3 linked regions of the Drosophila melanogaster genome follow. The protein of the gene in region 2 interacts with the protein of the main gene of each other region in a pairwise test. Each region holds a gene or a part of one and is shown on either strand. Other genes may lie near its edges.

Region 1 (5,929 bases), on a different chromosome or scaffold from region 2:
CCTCGCTGGGCGGCTTGCTGGGCAGCTCCCAGGCCAGGGCCACCGTAATGCCCAGAATCAAGTAGTTCGTGTGGTCCACCACTCCCACAATCTCATCGTACACTAAACGGATGAAGAGGGAGGGGTAATTGAGGCATGTGATTTGCATTATGTGGCACAGTGGCATAGTTAGGGGTAATAATAGACAAGGTTTAAAGTCACAATCTTTGTAAATATTTTAGATTTATAAAGATTGAGATTTATTTTTATACTGCAATTGCGACACCCCCTATTCAATGTAAAATGCCCTTTAACTGCGTCACTGTCCCGTGACTGAGGACTTACCCATCTGAAAGGAGCTGCCTTCCGGAAATACCAAATAACGTCGTTTCCGGGACAACAGCTCCTGGCTGGCTGACTGGTTGTTCTGGTAGGATGCGGACGCAGACTCATTCAGCCTCATCTCGATGAGCTGCTCCAGGCTGCTGTCGTCCGCATTGTTTATGCTCAGTGATGGCTGGCTCCCGGTTGCCAACTGGATGGATTCCCCGGTCTTCAGTGCGTCGACCAAGTTGGCCACGATGAGAAGCGTCAGGATGGTCGGCCAGCAATTACCTATCGGGGAATTTCCCTTCTCGATGGCATTGGAGCAGCTCCCCATCTTTTTCCGTGTCGACATTTTTTCAACCTGCTGTCGAAGCGTTGTCCATGCGGCAACTGTTGGCCAAGTATCGCGATGCTGGCCCAAACCGACAAAGAGAGGCAGCAACAGAAGCGTTCTTGGCCAAAAGTTGGCTGTTAATTGTGAGTAGTGGTGGTGGCCAAGCAGCTTTCCCTCCAGAAAGTTTCCAGTTTGAGTTTGAGCTCCGCTCGTTAAATTTCTTTTGCCCTCCTCCTTTGTCTTTCATTAGTTTTCACACTTTTCGTCTTTTGTGCTTTGCCAAGTAGTTTGTCTTGCAGAGCTGCTTCCATTGCCATCGCCTTTTGCTCCGTGTGCTCATTGGTCTATTTAGAGGTTCAAATTACTTTTTCACGCTCCCAACTTTTGGTTTATTCGTTCCATCCCGAAAGTAGCACACTTCCATCTTATTCCGATAGTGCTGCAGAGTGGAAGTTGAAGTAATGTGATCACTAGCCTCCGTTTTTCCGGTGATAAACTCAAATGCTCGCCTTCGACTCGGGAGATGCTTTTAGCTGCAAGTGAAGAAACTTCCAAATGACTTTTGTGCAATCTTTTCTTTACAATATCCGACTAGCTTTCTGGGTGGGTTGTCAATACAAACTATAAGATATATTAAATAGCTCGTTAATCCCCAAAGTTATTCAAACACTGATTTCTACTGTAGTGCCCATTAATTTTTGTACATATAATATTGATTAAAACTCAATAGCAGCATTCACATAATTCCCAGACTTTTATTGTGTTTTTATGTTCAATCCAACCAGAACGTGTGATTACAGTCACCGTAGATTTGCCGACAGTTGCCCTTCTGCCGATGTGCCTCCAGATAATTAGGGGAAATCATTAGCTCAAGTTCCTCCAGCTCCTCCACGTCATCGCTGCTGGGCAATTGAAAGATGGCCGAGAGTATTTCCATTATAAAGCTTTGTGGCCTGACCGCATTCGTCCCTCGAAGGACATGCTGTTGCCTTTGGGAGGACTCGCAGAGTGCGCGGAGCACACAGGAGGTACCATTTAGTCGTCGCCTGGAGGATTACACGTTTATTACACCACTGAGCGAAATAATTTATAGTAGGCGTCTTAAACTCACGACTTGTACAGGCGTTCGATTTTGCCAAAGAGCAGCTGCCTCGAGCTGAGATGCTGCTGCAGGTGGAGTCGCTCGAAGTGGGCATCCTGATCAAGACTGCGTCGCCTCCTCCGCCGAGCGAAAACGGGATATATGTGATGTTTGGGTGGTGCTCGTAGCACTTCTCGGGGTCGCTGGGAGTAGGCATAGCTGCGAAATATTATTTTTAAAATAATATTTTAACTTAAATATGTATATTTTTTAGGTTTACTTACTCCCACTTCGAGGGGCCCCATATGCGCTGTTTTTCTCGCCAGTTCTGCTGCACTCGCTGTCCATTTCGTGTCCACCAGTTGTCAGCGCCCGTCGTCTTCACCCTTTGCTGCCACTCAGCGGGCGACTGTCGCGCATGCCAATTAGCAGGAATCGCCGCCTGGCTCTGCTGTCCATTTGCATTTGCATCCGCATTCGCATTTGCATTTGCATATGGGTAAGCGGCCGGGATGCGCTGGATATTCGTGTAATACGAGTGGGAGTCATGCTCATTGGCCGCATATGCCGGTGGATTCGCCGGCGGTGCGTGCACTGCCTGCCAATTAGCCGTGTCTGCTCCTCGATTGTCCAGTTCCAGGTTCTGCGAGTGGGTTAGGGGCTGGGATGGAGGGTCAGGTTCTGGATCGGGTACGCTGCCGTTCCGGCGGACAGTGCCGATGGTGCCGTCGTTGATGCGCGTGAGCACGTTTTCAATCAGCTCGCTGGGCGGCTTACTGGGCAGCTCCCAGGCCACGGAGCAGGTGATGCCCAGGATGGCGTAGTTGGTGTAGTCTATGATGGGTATGATGATGTCGAACACCAGCTGAAAGGACGAGCCCTCGGGGAAGAGCAGGTAGCGTTTCTGGCGATGCAGTCGCAACATCGCATCCCTTCCAGATTCAAGTGGGCCAGCGGGAGCAGGAGCAGGTGTGATGACCACTGTGTGCGAGACATTCGAGTGACCATTACCACTTGGTGCACTATAATTTTGGATCAGGCAAAGAGGCAGCAGCAATATGAGCAGAGTGCCGACTCCAGCACATCCAATTACTTTGATTGTTTTCCCCATTTGTCCTTAATGGAAACCAGCAAAAGTCACTTGGTCAACACTTAGCAGCCAAAATGGAGTTCTAATGAAAGTATTTTTGATGGAGAGTTGTAAAGTATTAAGTAAGTATTAATCTCTGAAATATATTCACATTTTATAAGTGATATTTGTAAACTAATAGAATGGATTCTTATATTAATGTTTGTTAACATTTTTGAAACCTATCGAAGTATCTCTTAAACGAGCATCATGTAGCTCTATTTTAGGGCACCAATCAATTTTATGCCTATTTTTTTATTCTCAAGAGTGGCGTCCCAGTTTTGTTCACTAGTGTAATTGAGCAATCGAACATTCCGATTGCTGCGTGCCTGGGCACTCGAATCGAAAAAAGCGGCGACGAAATTTGCATAATTTCACTTTAGCTGTGACGCTTCCATTTGCCGGCACTGCCAATCATGCGTTAAATTAATGCAATTTTCGACAATATTCGAAGCGCAAGAGATGTCCAATATCCAATGGCCGGCCAATGGTCGATTCTCGCTGGTCCAGTTTGAATCCGTTCCGATCGGGCTGCACAATTAAAACACTGCCATTTTCGAGGGGCCAAAACTCCGGTCGGAATTGAACGCGAATTTATGAAGCAGATAATTACCATTAGGGGCGAATTGGTTTCTCGATTGGGAGCGATTTTGGCCGGGCCTAAACTTTTTATTTTACGATATGTTGATGCCATTAGCTGTCCGAATCGAACTCGAACTGCTACTGAAACTGATGCCGCGCGCATTCCGTCCAACGATTTTGGTCCAGTTTGGTTTGGCCAAGTTTAATTGTACAATTAGCACCCAATTGAGTGTCGTTAACTCGATTCTGTGCCATGCCAAGTGCTCTTTAGAAGGTGCTAAATAGCCCCATCCATTTGCATTCCATCTCCCAATTGAAATTGCCTGCAGCTGAAATACTAATTCCTCGATTTTTCACTCTATTCATTTCGTACATTGTCAAATTGCCCGACAACAGATTGTTTAATTACTATATTTGGTTAGTGATTGCTGGTTTTTTTTCGCGCTAACAATGCCGCGCTAGCCACCGCAATAAATAATCTTTAAAGTGACAAGCCAGTCAAAAAAAAAAAAAAAAAACAGTAGCGCATAGTTAGTATTTAAAATATTTTAATCACTACTGCTTTCGGATGGATTAAACGTTTAACGCATTCGGCGAAATACTCAGCTTGATTGAGTGCTTTTTAATTTTCACATTAACTGCTCTATTTTATTTTACCTCTTGTTATCCAAACCCAATATTAATGTTATGGCAAGGTTTTTAATTAATTCATGGGTAAAAACCTTAAATACACTATTATTTAATGCGAATTGATAAATAAAAATCTTAATGGTTTTATGATATAAACTGATAAACAACCAGGAACACCCATGAAGGAAGGGCAAAGAGCCATGAGCTTTCAACCAAAACCAGGTGCCAAGAGAGGATTCTTTCTGGGACAGAGTCTACACATCCGAAAGGCCATTGAATCCTAGCATACGTACAATGCCATTCCAGTCACGGAGAAGTGGATCTGGATGAAGGGCAGATGGTTTAAGGAGTCATTGCGTATCGAAGTAAGTGTTTCAGATAGTTGGAATGGCCACAGCTTCAGTTGCGGTTTCGATGCTCAGTATTCATTTTGTCCATTCGTTTTAGTAGAATGTAATAACTTAAATAGACCATTATCTTCAGGTTCAAATATTCATATGAATTGTGGTTTTTGTAACTTTTGTGGTTTTGGTAAGATCTCGCTTAAGATGCAATTTAATTGGACATTTTACAGTTCAATGATTCGTCAAACTTATTTCTTCAGTGTATAATGGCAGTTTTCTGTTAACTTTGCGAATTCCCCGTCTGTCAATTTCTTTGGCAAACTAAGAGCTGAGTTTCCCAATGCTGCCGCAAGTTGCACCGGCTGCAAAATTAGTTGACCATGCACTCCAGTGGCAAACAGTTCCAGCCGAATTCTTCCTCCGTCCTGCTGCTGTTCGTCCTAGCTGCGAGTGCTGCAGGAGATGGGAATGATAGAAATGCTAGCCCTGGGCTCAGTCTCAGTCGCACCAAACGCTTGGCCATTTTCAATGGTCAGGGCACAAACAAGGTTGACCATCGATCCAACTTTGGCATTCCGGCTCCTAATTGTTCTCCCCCAGATTGTCGCTGGCTTGGCGTTTCCCATCAAGCAGGCGGATACCGTGCAGTCGGTTTGGGGATTCGTCAACTACCAGGCGCAATACGTGCCATCGCCTGTCCCAATTTACTGGTGGAGTTTCTGGAACACCTCGACATTTCTGTCCACCGCCAGGGAGTGGAGGAAAGGCATCCGGAGCAGGGTTTTCCAGGACGAGACCCGAGTTTGGCTGTACGATGTTGTGGAGACGGGATTGGAGCGGTGTGTATTTGATGGCTCATCTGTCATCGCCTTTTACTGGTTTATTCGTGTTGCAGGCTCGGAGATCGGAATGCAGGTGCCTGCCTGCTCAAATGTATCTGTGAGATATCCCAACGCCCCTTTATGCACAACAGCATTTTTGGCGAGATACTGAATGCAGTGCTGGTGTAAGTCTAGTTTTCAGTACCTTTAAAATGCTTAAGCAAAATGTAGCACTTGTTATCTTTAACCATTTAACAGTCCATCCCTGGATAATGTGCCTGAAAAGTATCTGCATGCCCGGAATGCCGGAAAAGCTGGTGCCAATTGCCGGAAAACTTACAGTGACTGCAGCAAGGCGTTCTGGAATAAACTCATTCAAATGGCCAGGATAACTATCTAAGTAGAATAAAAAATAATTAGGTTGAAAATCTCTTGAAGCAAGAAACCCACTTCTATGTATTTAATATTATTTTAGAGGCTTTTCGCTTCATAAACTAGTTCATTTAATGGTTTCTAGTGCACATTATTTATTACATTACATTACATTATGTTATTTTAAGAAACATTATTTTAAATTAGTTTCTCGAAATTCATGCTGTGTGCTCCTTTGCATTTGTCTTTTCGATTTCGAGATGCTGGTATTTTTATTGTCTCTGTTTTTTTTTTTTTTATTTTTGTGGCTGGTGCTCGTGTGAGATTTTT
Region 2 (6,481 bases):
GACATACCTTGAAATGTAGAATTTATATTTTCGGAACTCTATATTTCAATTATATTAGCTCATCACAATAGTTGGCATTACTCTTCCAAGCTTCCAACTGTTCAGACTGAATTCATCGCCATATTCCTATACTCGTACATCCCATCATCAGCCACTGGCAGCTCGCATTAATTGACAGTTTCGCCATCAGTTGGCCCAGATGGAACCCTAACTAAGTCCACATTAACTCGTCAATCATGATGTGGATGTTTGGATAGAGCCGCCCTCCCTCTGCGCCCATTCTCATTAATTCTCTTTTAGTAGGCCATTGCAGTCGGGAGGGGAGAGAGTCATTACAGTTGAATATGATATGCTACCCATCCCTTTAACCCCTTTGAATGCATTTCCATTTCCTTTTTAGTTCTAAAAAAAAAAATTCTAATTGCAGCAGATCTCTCTAATACAGAGCTCCTCCTATCCCGTTCATTATTATTATTTAATTTTTGTATTTTCTATGGGATAAGTTGAACGTAACCCACCGCCCGATCTAACCCCTTCTTAGTTTAGGGGTCTTGTCCGTAATTAATTGCAAAAGTTTTGTTCGTTTTCTGTCGTCTGGTGCAGCAGAAAAAGTTCAAAGTTGACGGTGCTGGAAAGACCCATCCGTCCGCAAGTGATGAGTAGTGAAAAACTGAATTGTCAATTATGATGCATAATTATTGAAAATTCTCTAATTAGCAGCAGAAAACTTTAACCCAGGGGCTGATTCTAGCGGAAACACTGGTTTGTGCCACTTAATTAATTATTTGGAAAATGTGATGGAAAAGTTTTACGCACTTTTCAGAAGGGAATTCCGATAAAATATAATATATTTTTTGTTATATGTAAATGAAATGCATCAGAATTTTGAAAACCCATTTTAAAAGTACTATAGTGTGTAAATTTATATATTTTGCTCAATATTGAATCATTTTTACGATTAAATTTAAATATTTAAATATTTGAGATTTTATTTGTTTGTGATATGATAAAATAAAGACTAAATCTAAATTTGTATTTTTGAGGGACTTTTTTGGATATTTTTTCGTTCTGATTAAGGAAAGAAAGTGAATTTTGTTTTGGGAAAGCATGAAGGATTGGGATATTAACAACGGTCTAATATTTCAGAACGGTTTCCCCTTTAAGTGAAGTTTGTGGGAATCCCTTGTGCGTTGACTAATTTCCGAGGAATTTCTGTGCATCCTTGGCCATCAATTTGTTGTCAGCAGCTGAGGAGGCGCCACATCAGCATCTCTGGCACTTGTTCCGCCATTTGAATCCGGTGCTCATCCTCTCCCAGTTGGCTGGTCCCTTCTCCTACTCTTTCCCCTTCCCTTTCCCTTGCCAGTGTCCTTGTTCTTGGCTAAGTCGGATCCTTTGAGTTGGGAGGAAATGCTATCATTTGGTGCCTGTCATCGTTGTGTTCGTTGTTGCTGCTGTCTGTTTGCCTGACGCCGACGAAAGGTTAAGGCATGCATCGCTTCCATCAAATTAGACGCATTTTCGACGCGCTTTGTCTGCCAGGCCCTCTCTATCTAGCTCAGTCGTCCGTCTCTTTCTCCCCAACTATGTCTGTCTCTCTCTTCCACACTTTTCCCTACACTTCCTTTACCCACTTTGGCAATTTTCTAGCTGACGCCGCTTTGCCTTTACGTTTTATCACTTCATTTGCACTGAAATGTCAATGTCTGGCTCGTTCCTTTCCCTTCCTTTTTCAATACCTTTGCACAGACTGTTCCCATTTTCACTTATTCAATGGGTTTTAATAAAAGTCCGGGGTGTTTTATACATTTTTTCTTATCTTAACCACATTTTTGCCAAATGCTACTTGGTATCAGAAACATTGACAAAATATGTCACCAATGGTGCAAACCTATAATGAAAGACTACAATTTTTAATGTCTATTCTGTTAAGATCCTTGATTTAAAATTATAAAATAAAACGGATTTAAAAGTGTACAATTTATAGTTTCAAGCTAAAAAATTGCATACTATATCAACTTGATTATAATTCATTTTTAAATGCAAAAGTAAAAGCAAATTAAAACACTTCCGATTTTATGTATGTAATGTATAAACTCACGAACAAAGATTTGTAAATTATATAATTAAAGGGAATATCTGATTTGTAAGAGCAATCCCAGCCTCGTCGGACGCCCAGTTCAGTTTCAAAGAGCATGGCCAAAAAAGTCAGGAAGGAAGCAGTTTTGTTGCAATGACGTGGGCGGTATTTTTTGTGGGTGGGCAATTGCTGAGTGTGGGTGTGTAGGAAGCATTGGATTGGATTGGATGGGAGGGGTTGTGTCCTGGCGCTAAAAGAAATCTGTCTGACAAATTACACGCCCCGAGTTGCAGAGTCGCAGCAGCAGCTGCTGAAACGCTTCGTTTGCTCCTCCTCCGTGACTTGCTCCTTCACTTTCGCCTGCTGTTTGCGTTGTCTTCCCGTGCTGCTTCTAGCTCCACATTCGGACTCAGGCCATCAAACCGATTGACTGAAGGATTGGGCCAGGGCACGTCATTCACTCAGTTAGTCCGTTAGTCAGCGAGTGCAACGGCCTTTTGATTGGGCTTTATGGTCATGGGGTGGCAGTGGCTATCTCCGCCTCCTTGTGCCTTTTAGTTGGTCTTGCGGGGAGGGGGTGTTCGGTTTTAGTGGACTTTACTTAGCTGGATGAGCTCATTCGCCGGGTTATCTGGTGTGAAGGGGGAACTACGGAGGCTAAAGGAACTTGAGTTTCATAGCTGAACAACATAGAGGGCTTCTATAAAAATTGTAAGTAGCTCATAGCTTTGGTTCTGAACCACTTGGTTAACTTTCTCATAATAAAATGGGAATTACTTACAATTAAATCAAGTTTACAAAATTCCACACCCCTAGGAGTAATGAGCCAATAACAAATAATTTCTGCTGCACTTTAATATGTATGCAGGATATTTATTAAGAAAATTACTTGTGGCCTTGGCATTTCTTTTCTTAAATTGGCATTTTTATTCTGCACATCTCACATAACGAATTAATCAACATGTCTCCGTAACAATTTCTGCATTTATTCTCAGCATAGCACTTCTCTGAATAACATTTACGACCATTCCAGCATTCCCTAATTTGTCAAATTTTGTTTCGTTTCCCCAAAATCCTTTCTGGTTTACTGCGGCTGCCGTCGATGGTCAGCCCTTCTCAGTTTCCACATCATCGGGCATCCTCGTTCCTCAACCCATCCCATCGCCTCGTAGGAAGACCAACCTCTTTCCCTCAACGCAAGACATTCAACAGTTACAAATTGCTATTCGCACAGAATTTCAGTTATCTGATAAATTTCAACGCACACAAACATTTGAACGTTGAAAATGGAAAACCCAAGCACAGAGCGAAAGTATTGCAAACCCTTCAAGTTAAACTATATTTATATTTAATTTAAGTTCAAAAACTAGAATTAGGATTATATTTATATGTAGATGAGGAGAGCTTATTTTTTATTTACTATATAGTACATACATATTTCTAATCACATTGGAGATAGATAGCACCCAATCGTTTTAGATGTGCACACAAGGCAACCCGTTCGATGCTCCTCGAGGCACATTTTGCTTACCACTTGAATATATTGTGTCATCTAGCCACTCATCCTTTCGAATCCGATAAAATGGCACACCACGCACTTTTCGGGGTTTTCAAAATATTTGGCAAGCGTTTCTGCAATTCCTCGGATTGCGACGCTAATGTTATTTTTCACTCTACGTCGGATTTATTTGTGATTCGACGGCGGCTGGTAGTAAAATTATTTGTTTATTTTCCTTGCGTTTTTGGCCGCTAATTTGGATTGGATGCAGGCAGCAGGAAAAGCCCCCGGGGGTTATCTATCACCCGCCCAACTTTTTCGCCACTCTCACCCTATTTGGTTTGAGTTTTTCGCGCACGTTCATCGAATTTGGTCTTTGGCGCTGGCGAAGTTTTTGTTTACTTTACCCTGGGTTTGCTCGTAGTTTGGTTTTATATTATTATTTTAGATTCAGATACAGTGACTGAACTGCACGTTCCGGTGTTGTTTTGCATACTGCGCGCCGCATTTGCCGGCGAATTTTGTTATGGTGCATGCGAGTTTTCCGATGCGAATTTTCCGATGCGAGTTTTCCGACTGCAGAGTCGCTCGGATCCACAATTGCGCTCGGTGCTCGGCTTTCAGGTTCGTCGCCCGATTGGCCTGATGCCTGATGCGTGTTGCGGTCTGCTGCCGTTTTCCCAGCTGCAATTTTCCTCAATTAACAGTTGGTCGGGAGAGCACGCGGTGAGGGAGACTCTCCCGCCGACACTTTCTCTCTTATACGAACTCTCACTTTCGTTGGCCAACAACAGTCGAATGTTAGCGCTTGCAGTTCTGTTGCCATTTTGGGCAAGTGCTTGTTGATTCTACTGGTGCCATTTAGAAGGATATAAGAACAAGGATTATCAAAGTATAATATTGAGATGTGTTGTCGCTATAGGTTAATCAAAACTACTTCCATGTGTTATCTATCTCATGCTAAAACAAGAAATTTTAAAAAGTTTTACCTTCCTTTGGTATCATGCTGTTATAAAAATTATTTCCAGTTATTTTGGACCTAAATTTAATTACTCTAAATTTAACATATATTAGCGAGCATATACCCTTATTTTATCAGATTTATAATTCCTTATAATTAAAATGTTCAAAATCGTTTATGGGATGGCTTACCGGCCGTATACGTAATGTGTTATTTATACTTTTACCAAATTCCAATAACACAAATGTGTTTGCATAACATATTATTTTCGGCACAATTGTTTCGTAGTTCAGGTATGGCACTGCATTTAAAATTATATCGGTATTGGGACAGTCAATGTTATAATTATAGTTGCAAATGTACGTGTATTAGCTTGAATTCGGAAAGGCTTTGATTGCTGATTGATTATTCTAGCCTTAATTGCATGCATTTTGCATACAGTTGTTTGCAATAATTGAAATCAGTAATGACATGGAAAGGAGGACAAGAAATGCATGCTCTCACAATTTACTTAGGATATGATATAGCAAGACTGTGCTATATCATATATATATTCTTAAAAACATTAAAAATATGTTCTTGCCTCGTTACCAAACATCACACTCGATATAAATCATTCATACATATTTTTTCCAAAGTTTACAAAGTTAGTTTGCAAATTTATCAGATATTTAAATTAAGTTTGGAAAGTGATTGCGTTTCAGATACCAATCTTTAGTTTCCTCCTACATTTTTTGGGTAAATAAATCATATCTCAGCACTGCCACCGTCTCAGAGCTCCAACTTAAGAAGCCCCAGGCGTCGAAATCTAATTGCCGTGCACTTGGAAAACTATCCACCTGGCCCAAACCCGGAGTTATCTCCCTTGCTCTGTTGGTCATTAGAAGAACAGGAAATTTTCCGTTTTTGTTCGCACCCAACTTGGAAAGAAATTTGCTGCAATAATTTCCATGTGGAGCCAGTTGATGTTTTCGTTTAGAAAAAAGTTCGACTTGGTTAGATGACAGTGAAAAAAAAGCTGGCAAACATATGGTAAGAGTTGGGGGATATCTAGAAGAAACTTTGGAAAGAGAGTGACACAGAAAATATGGCAACTGTCGACGTTCTTCGGAGTCAAACTTTAGTTTGGCCTTTTGAGCAAAACTTTTAATCCTTCTGGTTGAATTTCCGACAGTTTGCTTTAATCCTTTTCCGTTGGCACTGAAAAGTGCTTTAAATGCGACCGAAATTGGGAGATGTTTATTGTTTACCATTCCTCAAATCGTAAAAAGTTTTATCCATAGCAAAGTCCCCTCTGTGTCGTACACAAAACTTTAAATTAAATTATCTACCAGTGAAAAGTTTATATGTTTTAAATACCGCTCGAAGCACACTATAAAAAATATAGTTTTTATCGGTAAAATGTTGCAGAAGGTTCTATGAAAATGTAAATAAATAAATTTGGCTGGTTTAAAAAAATTACTATTAAGCATGCCATGTTAGAATTTATTTGTGTCTTGAATATAAGTCCGGAAAACAAGAAAATTTGAAATTAAGCCAACGACGTCAAAAGTGCCAACCAGTCAAAGTCAATAAAATGAGCCATAATCTAGGACATTGTACTGAATGGCATTGTCTTCGCTTAACGTATTTAAATTTGTTTTGTTACTCAAGGGCATTCAAAGATTTCATTACCAGCTTTTGCTTATTTGTCAGCCTCACTTTGACAACTGGCCGCAAAAATATGTAGCTTAATGTAGATAATTGAATTTCAAGAACGCATTTTTGCTTGTCCAGAGTAATTACTGCTGCTAGGAATCAGCTCATTAAAGTTTGCTTTGAAATCACTCCCACAAGAATATTAAATCATTTTCGACTTTAAAGCAATTTTCGCTTGATTGAATTAAGTTGGCCAAAACACAGACGACGTGGCTGGGAAAGTTTTGGGCGGTTTTGTCGGTGG
Region 3 (5,246 bases), on a different chromosome or scaffold from region 2:
TGCCCATCCGGATGTGAATGGAGAGCAGCTGCACCCTGGCTGTTCGCAGAGCTGTCTCCAGCACCTCCTCGAAGAAGGGCACGTCCAGGTGGCTGGGTGGAGCAACCACGTCCGCGTCGAACACAATGCTACACATCTTGGGATCGTTTGAAAAGTGGCTACCAGGCGGTGCTCAATTTATATACGTGTCGCTATGATCTTGCCCAGCTGAATCCGGCGGCGCAATTAATTATAGTTATGTGTATCCAGTTATGTGTAGTATTATACTTTCAGTTATATATAGACTTTAATAGACGACAACGAGATGTCTAATTTTTCGATATTTGTAAAACACGCAACGCGGAGACGTCGACCTTTTTAGGCGCATTTAACTAGTAATTTGACTTCCTGTTTTGAACTCTGCCGACAATATTCAGTTTGAATATTTTTCGAATTCTGCTGGATGAATTCCACTTGCAGCGATTGGCAGCTCATTATCTTATCAAGTTTTGATTCGAATTTGCATTAATCCAACGAGTTTCTGATAAGGGAACGCTTTCAGTCAAGTGTCAATCCGAAGCTAATTATATGCGAACGCTTCTTAAATATATTATATTTGTACGTAATCGTTTATATTAAATCTGTTTGGCATGATTACATTCAATATCTTACCTTAAAGGTAATATGATTAGGCCATATATCGCACTAAACACAAGGTTTAGATGATATTATTAAGATGGCTACTATCCTCCTACATTTTAGGTGATGGGTATTATAAAAAGAATATACCTCATTCGGTACTTTATATATGCAACCTGTTGTATAAAAGCTATAGCTTTAATAAACACATTAGACAGAAGATAACACTATTCTACTTTTTTTTATAAGTTGACCTAATGATAGAGCCCTAATAAAATAATCCCAGACTGCAGAAACTAAGTGACTGAGAATGTTTGAAGGAAACAACCATGAAATCATCAAATTCTGAATGCACGTGATCGCTAAGGGTATTATTATCTAATACCTACGTGGTTATTCAAGATGATTGTAAGCTTTATAAGAAATGCGTAATATATACTGTGTAATTTATTAATTCAAGCTCAAGCTGACTGTGCTTCCATAAGGTTTCCAAACTCAATCGTTTTTATGGTTACTTCGGATCTCGAAACCTACAACCCGAAATGTAACCATATATGTATAAGTCCCTGATTCGATTGCGTCAATGTGATCTTATCTTAATATTTTCTCATTCTCAGGCATCAGAAATCAGCGTACACTCATAGAATAAGTGGTATACTTAAGCGACTATGAATTGAAAACATAAGTGGTTATGTGTTGTGCAAGCCCCTGAAAATTGTCTGATACCATATTCCTGAAATCTGAATAAAAAATACATTTCGTTAGTTTGATTTATTGCATTGAAGTCAGGTTTGGTACTTTAATCAATCCAAAACATTTACATTCTCAGGCCGAAAGCTAATATAGCTATATCAAGGATGTGTGCCTTGGAAGAGCCTCCATTTATATCACAGAACCCCAACCATTATAATACTCATGCCACTTTTCAGTAGTCCCCGAAGACGCCAAGTGAATCAGCTCGCTTCAGAGCCCACTTTTGGTGGTCGTTCAGGAACTTTTGCGAGAAGATGGCATCCATCTTGCGCTGCTTGAAGGCCTCGTCCTGCATGTTCTCAATGCTGTTGTCCTGGGCCAGCTCCTTGGGCATGGTGATCATGGGCAGGAAGGCGAACATGCCGAAAAGTCCGTAGGTTTCGCGGCTGCGCAGCTCGTACTGCAGATCCTCATAGCTGGGAATGTCCTCGAAGCGGGCGTACTCCAGAGCATCCTTGAAGGATGCATAGTACACCTTGATGAGCTCCTCGCGGCGCTCCTGCAGCAATTGCAGCTTGATGCTGGTGTTCAGGAAGAAGTTCAGATCGCAGGCCGGACTGCCATAGAAGCTGAGTTGGAAGTCCACGAAGATGGCACGCGTGGGAACGTCCGGCTGTGAAGCGTTATCGTATCCGTACATGAAGTTATTGGTCCACAAATCCCCGTGGTTGAGCACCACGTAGCGATCACCCTTCCTCGGCCTGGGCGCATCCGCACACACGTTCCGGAAGTTGTCCATAAGGCGCTGCAAGTGCTTGCTAATCTTCTCGTAGCCGGCCCAGCTCGCTGAGCTCTTGATGAGGCCCTTGAGGAAGCCGCCGAACATTTGCTCGAAGGTGTCGCTCTTCATCAGGATGTCCTCGCTGAGCATGCCACGCGTGTATTGCTTCACAATAGCGGGATCCTGTGGAATTGCAAAAAGGAAGTCATTACGAAGTTCGAGGATTCTCCAGAGTCATCACTGCTACCTTCTTGGCCAGCACCATGGAGGTGGCATGGAACTTTCCCAGTTGCTGAAGAATGAGTGAGGCGTGGTTCCAGTCCAGGCCTTTTTCACGCGAGGCCACCTTGAATCCCTCTACCGTGAGGTCACTGAACACGATCGTTTGCACCGGAGTCTTCACAGAGTGATAGTATCTGATGTGAGATAGAGATGCTAGTAAGCACTGTGTGCCTTTATCCAAAACTTTCATTAACTTACTTTGCTCCGAATGTGTCGCCACGGCTGAGGATATCCAATCGCGGCAAGACATCAGTGTAGGTCTGCTTCTCCTTGATGAACACACAGACATCCTCCAGAAACTGAGTGGCTTCGGTGATCGGAATGGTCTTCACAATTAGCGAAAGCTGCTCCGTCACCGGGGATTCCCCACCGTCGGCCCATCTAGCGAACGAGACTCCGACACGATAGATAGCCGAGCAATAGTTGTCCCCCGGATTGCTGCCCCACGCAAAATTGATCTCCTTCAGGGTCACCTTCGACTCCCGCAAACCCTCCTCCAGGGTCTCTGTGAAGAAGTGCTCGTTGAGATACTCGGGCACCGAGATATTCTGCTCGTTCTTAATGACCACCATTTCGAATCTCTAACTAAAGCGATACACCTCCGATCGAAACCTTAACGCTTGCCTTTCGTAGCCAACTGATTTTGCGGCCTCGTAGAACTCAGCGTTTTATATTTGCTTGCAATAGTGTTAGTTTTTTTGGGAAATGTTTATACGACAATTCCGAGCTTTTCGTATGACTGTGGTGTCATCGTAAAAATAAACTAATTAGGTGGTAAAAGGTATAGTGGGTCGAATATGAATTGAATTTATATTCTAGTTCTATTTAAATATAAAAGTCGTCTACAAAATATGTATTGGGGCTCTTTAAAGTTTCACTTAAAATAATCTGTTATATATTTCTTTATTAAATTTTACAATGTTGTGCTTCCTAAGCCATACCCTTGTGCAATATCTATAGCTATCTATTTTTTGTGACATTTTCTTACTTACTTTCTTAAATTTTTACTTACTTACATATCAACTGCGACCCACTGTTTGCCTCGAGCTTTCTAAGAGCCAAAAGTCTCAGTCTAGTGTCTAACTCTATGCGTTTTGCATAGTCATCCACATCCAACGAAATACACTAGCTTGTGGGTTGATGAAACCCTAATTAATTTTTAGCTCTTGTTTTCGTTTTGTTTTGATAGCAGCAACCTGTTGAACAAAGTCATTCGACCACGTCATAGGTGCTCTATGGAGAGATTGAGATTCGATTCGGCTGATAGTTCGGATTGACAACAGGCGGTGCTTCGCTGCTGGAACACCGCCCGTCAGTGGGTCAACAGACGTGGTATTTGCTCCGGGTGTTATCAACTCTGCTTGAGGCATCCGTATCGGAATATACAATTCTAGAATCATTTAAACGTGCCGTCCATCTCATATATACACGTGTATTTTTTACTCACGGTGATGATAGTGTTAAACATCAACGGGTTCAGGGAAGGATTTGGACAGCGCGGGGGATTTGGACCAGATTTATATAATCACCTAGTTTCTCACTTAGTTCTATTAGTATTTTCTTTGTATGATGATTAACGCAAATTCTCATCAAGTTAACCAACTCATTTAGGAATTAACATAAAATAAATAAAATGCTGCTTTTTTCTTAAAAATCAATAATTGTTTGATAGTTGGTGCCTGCAAATCGAAGCTAATCCGCTCCTGACCGTAGGTAATGAATATTGCCTCAGTAGTAAAAGCCCAGCCCATCCAACTTATCACGCACACGCTAACAATAGATTAAATCATTTCCACAGAGCTTTTGCGTTATCACACTCAGTAATTTCGGTGTGGCACAAAATAATTTAAAACACTAGAAAAAATATTTTAAAACCAAACGGAATCATAGCATTTTAAATTAATTTAAATGAATATTTTATTCGCTCACTCGATTCACTTGCCAATAACATGCTTTTGAGCAAATGTTATGCGGTGCCAGTTTTGAAAGTTCGCCTTCTGCTGTTGCGCCTTCTCAGCCTTCAGTTGCATAATGTAGTTCTCCATCAGCTGACTGGGCGTGGTTTGTTGAAAGTTCAAAGTGGGCGTGGGCACGGTTACGCCCAGATCCATCTGCCGTCGAGCCTTCCACCTTCGACGCAGTCCATCCAGCCCAAAGGCCGGCACCTCAATGCACAGGAAATAGGCCAGTTCCATGCCACTAATTAGGGAGCAGCCAAGAAAAAGACCGGCAATTCCTCCAAAGCTAACTGGTGGAAAAATCCTGATTATTTATTAATTAGCTATGTCTCTTAATACATAGTTTGTGGAACAAATTACGGGATTATAGAAGCTATTTGATTTCGTACTGACCCATTAAGTCCACCCAGCCGAAGACGAGGCTGGTGCGATAGACCATAATGGTCTCGAAGCGAAAGTGCACATCCAGGTCCACATAGGAGTTGTTTGCGTACACATCCGGTGGCAGGAAGGCGGGCCGGACATCGCTGATGTAGTTGAGGGAGTAGCAGTTGCGGAAGCACTTGCAGGACATTCCCTGAAATTGGTTGCGAACGAACTCCTTCTCGCCGGGATTGTGGGAGTAGATGAGCAGGTCTGCGGGTGAGGGATACTGGTTTTATAAGGTCTTCTTTGGTGAGCCTGGACTCCTACTAACCATTGTGCTCAGCGAGGCACAGCAAATCCTGCGCCCGACACGATCGATATTGACCTGGTCAGAGAAACCAATGAATCGATCATTTGGTAACGATTTTGATAACGTGCTCACCCGGTGGAAACAGTAGGTCCATTGTGCAGTTGCAATAGCGCACCAAGTACTCCTGATGGCACTCGGACTGACAGTTTTCAATCATGTAAACGTATCCTTGCAGCGA

The links.
Region 1: the proteins of AstC-R1 (region 2) and CG17781 interact in a two-hybrid assay, tested with the Drosophila melanogaster proteins (one large-scale study listed by BioGRID).
Region 3: the proteins of AstC-R1 (region 2) and CG9498 interact in a two-hybrid assay, tested with the Drosophila melanogaster proteins (one large-scale study listed by BioGRID).

What each region holds. Positions count from the first base shown.
Region 1 is NT_033777.3:24,372,079-24,378,007, forward strand, and holds CG17781 (uncharacterized protein), read right to left. Parts: upstream 3,584-5,929; 5' UTR 3,464-3,583; intron 2,894-3,463; 5' UTR 2,833-2,893; coding exon 2,006-2,832; intron 1,941-2,005; coding exon 1,752-1,940; intron 1,687-1,751; coding exon 1,413-1,686; 3' UTR 1,378-1,412; downstream 1-1,377. Other genes in the region: CG17782 (uncharacterized protein), read right to left, coding at 1-102, 325-658; CG33342 (HDC15381), read left to right, coding at 4,787-4,954, 5,007-5,245, 5,302-5,412, 5,486-5,627.
Region 2 is NT_037436.4:18,557,835-18,564,315, reverse strand, and holds the start of AstC-R1 (allatostatin C receptor 1), read right to left. Parts: upstream 4,059-6,481; 5' UTR 3,612-4,058; intron 1-3,611.
Region 3 is NT_033779.5:6,348,016-6,353,261, forward strand, and holds CG9498 (uncharacterized protein), read right to left. Parts: upstream 3,020-5,246; 5' UTR 2,947-3,019; coding exon 2,573-2,946; intron 2,509-2,572; coding exon 2,340-2,508; intron 2,276-2,339; coding exon 1,544-2,275; 3' UTR 1,378-1,543; downstream 1-1,377. Other genes in the region: CG9497 (uncharacterized protein), read right to left, coding at 1-136; ppk7 (pickpocket 7), read right to left, coding at 4,309-4,622, 4,726-4,968, 5,030-5,083, 5,141-5,246.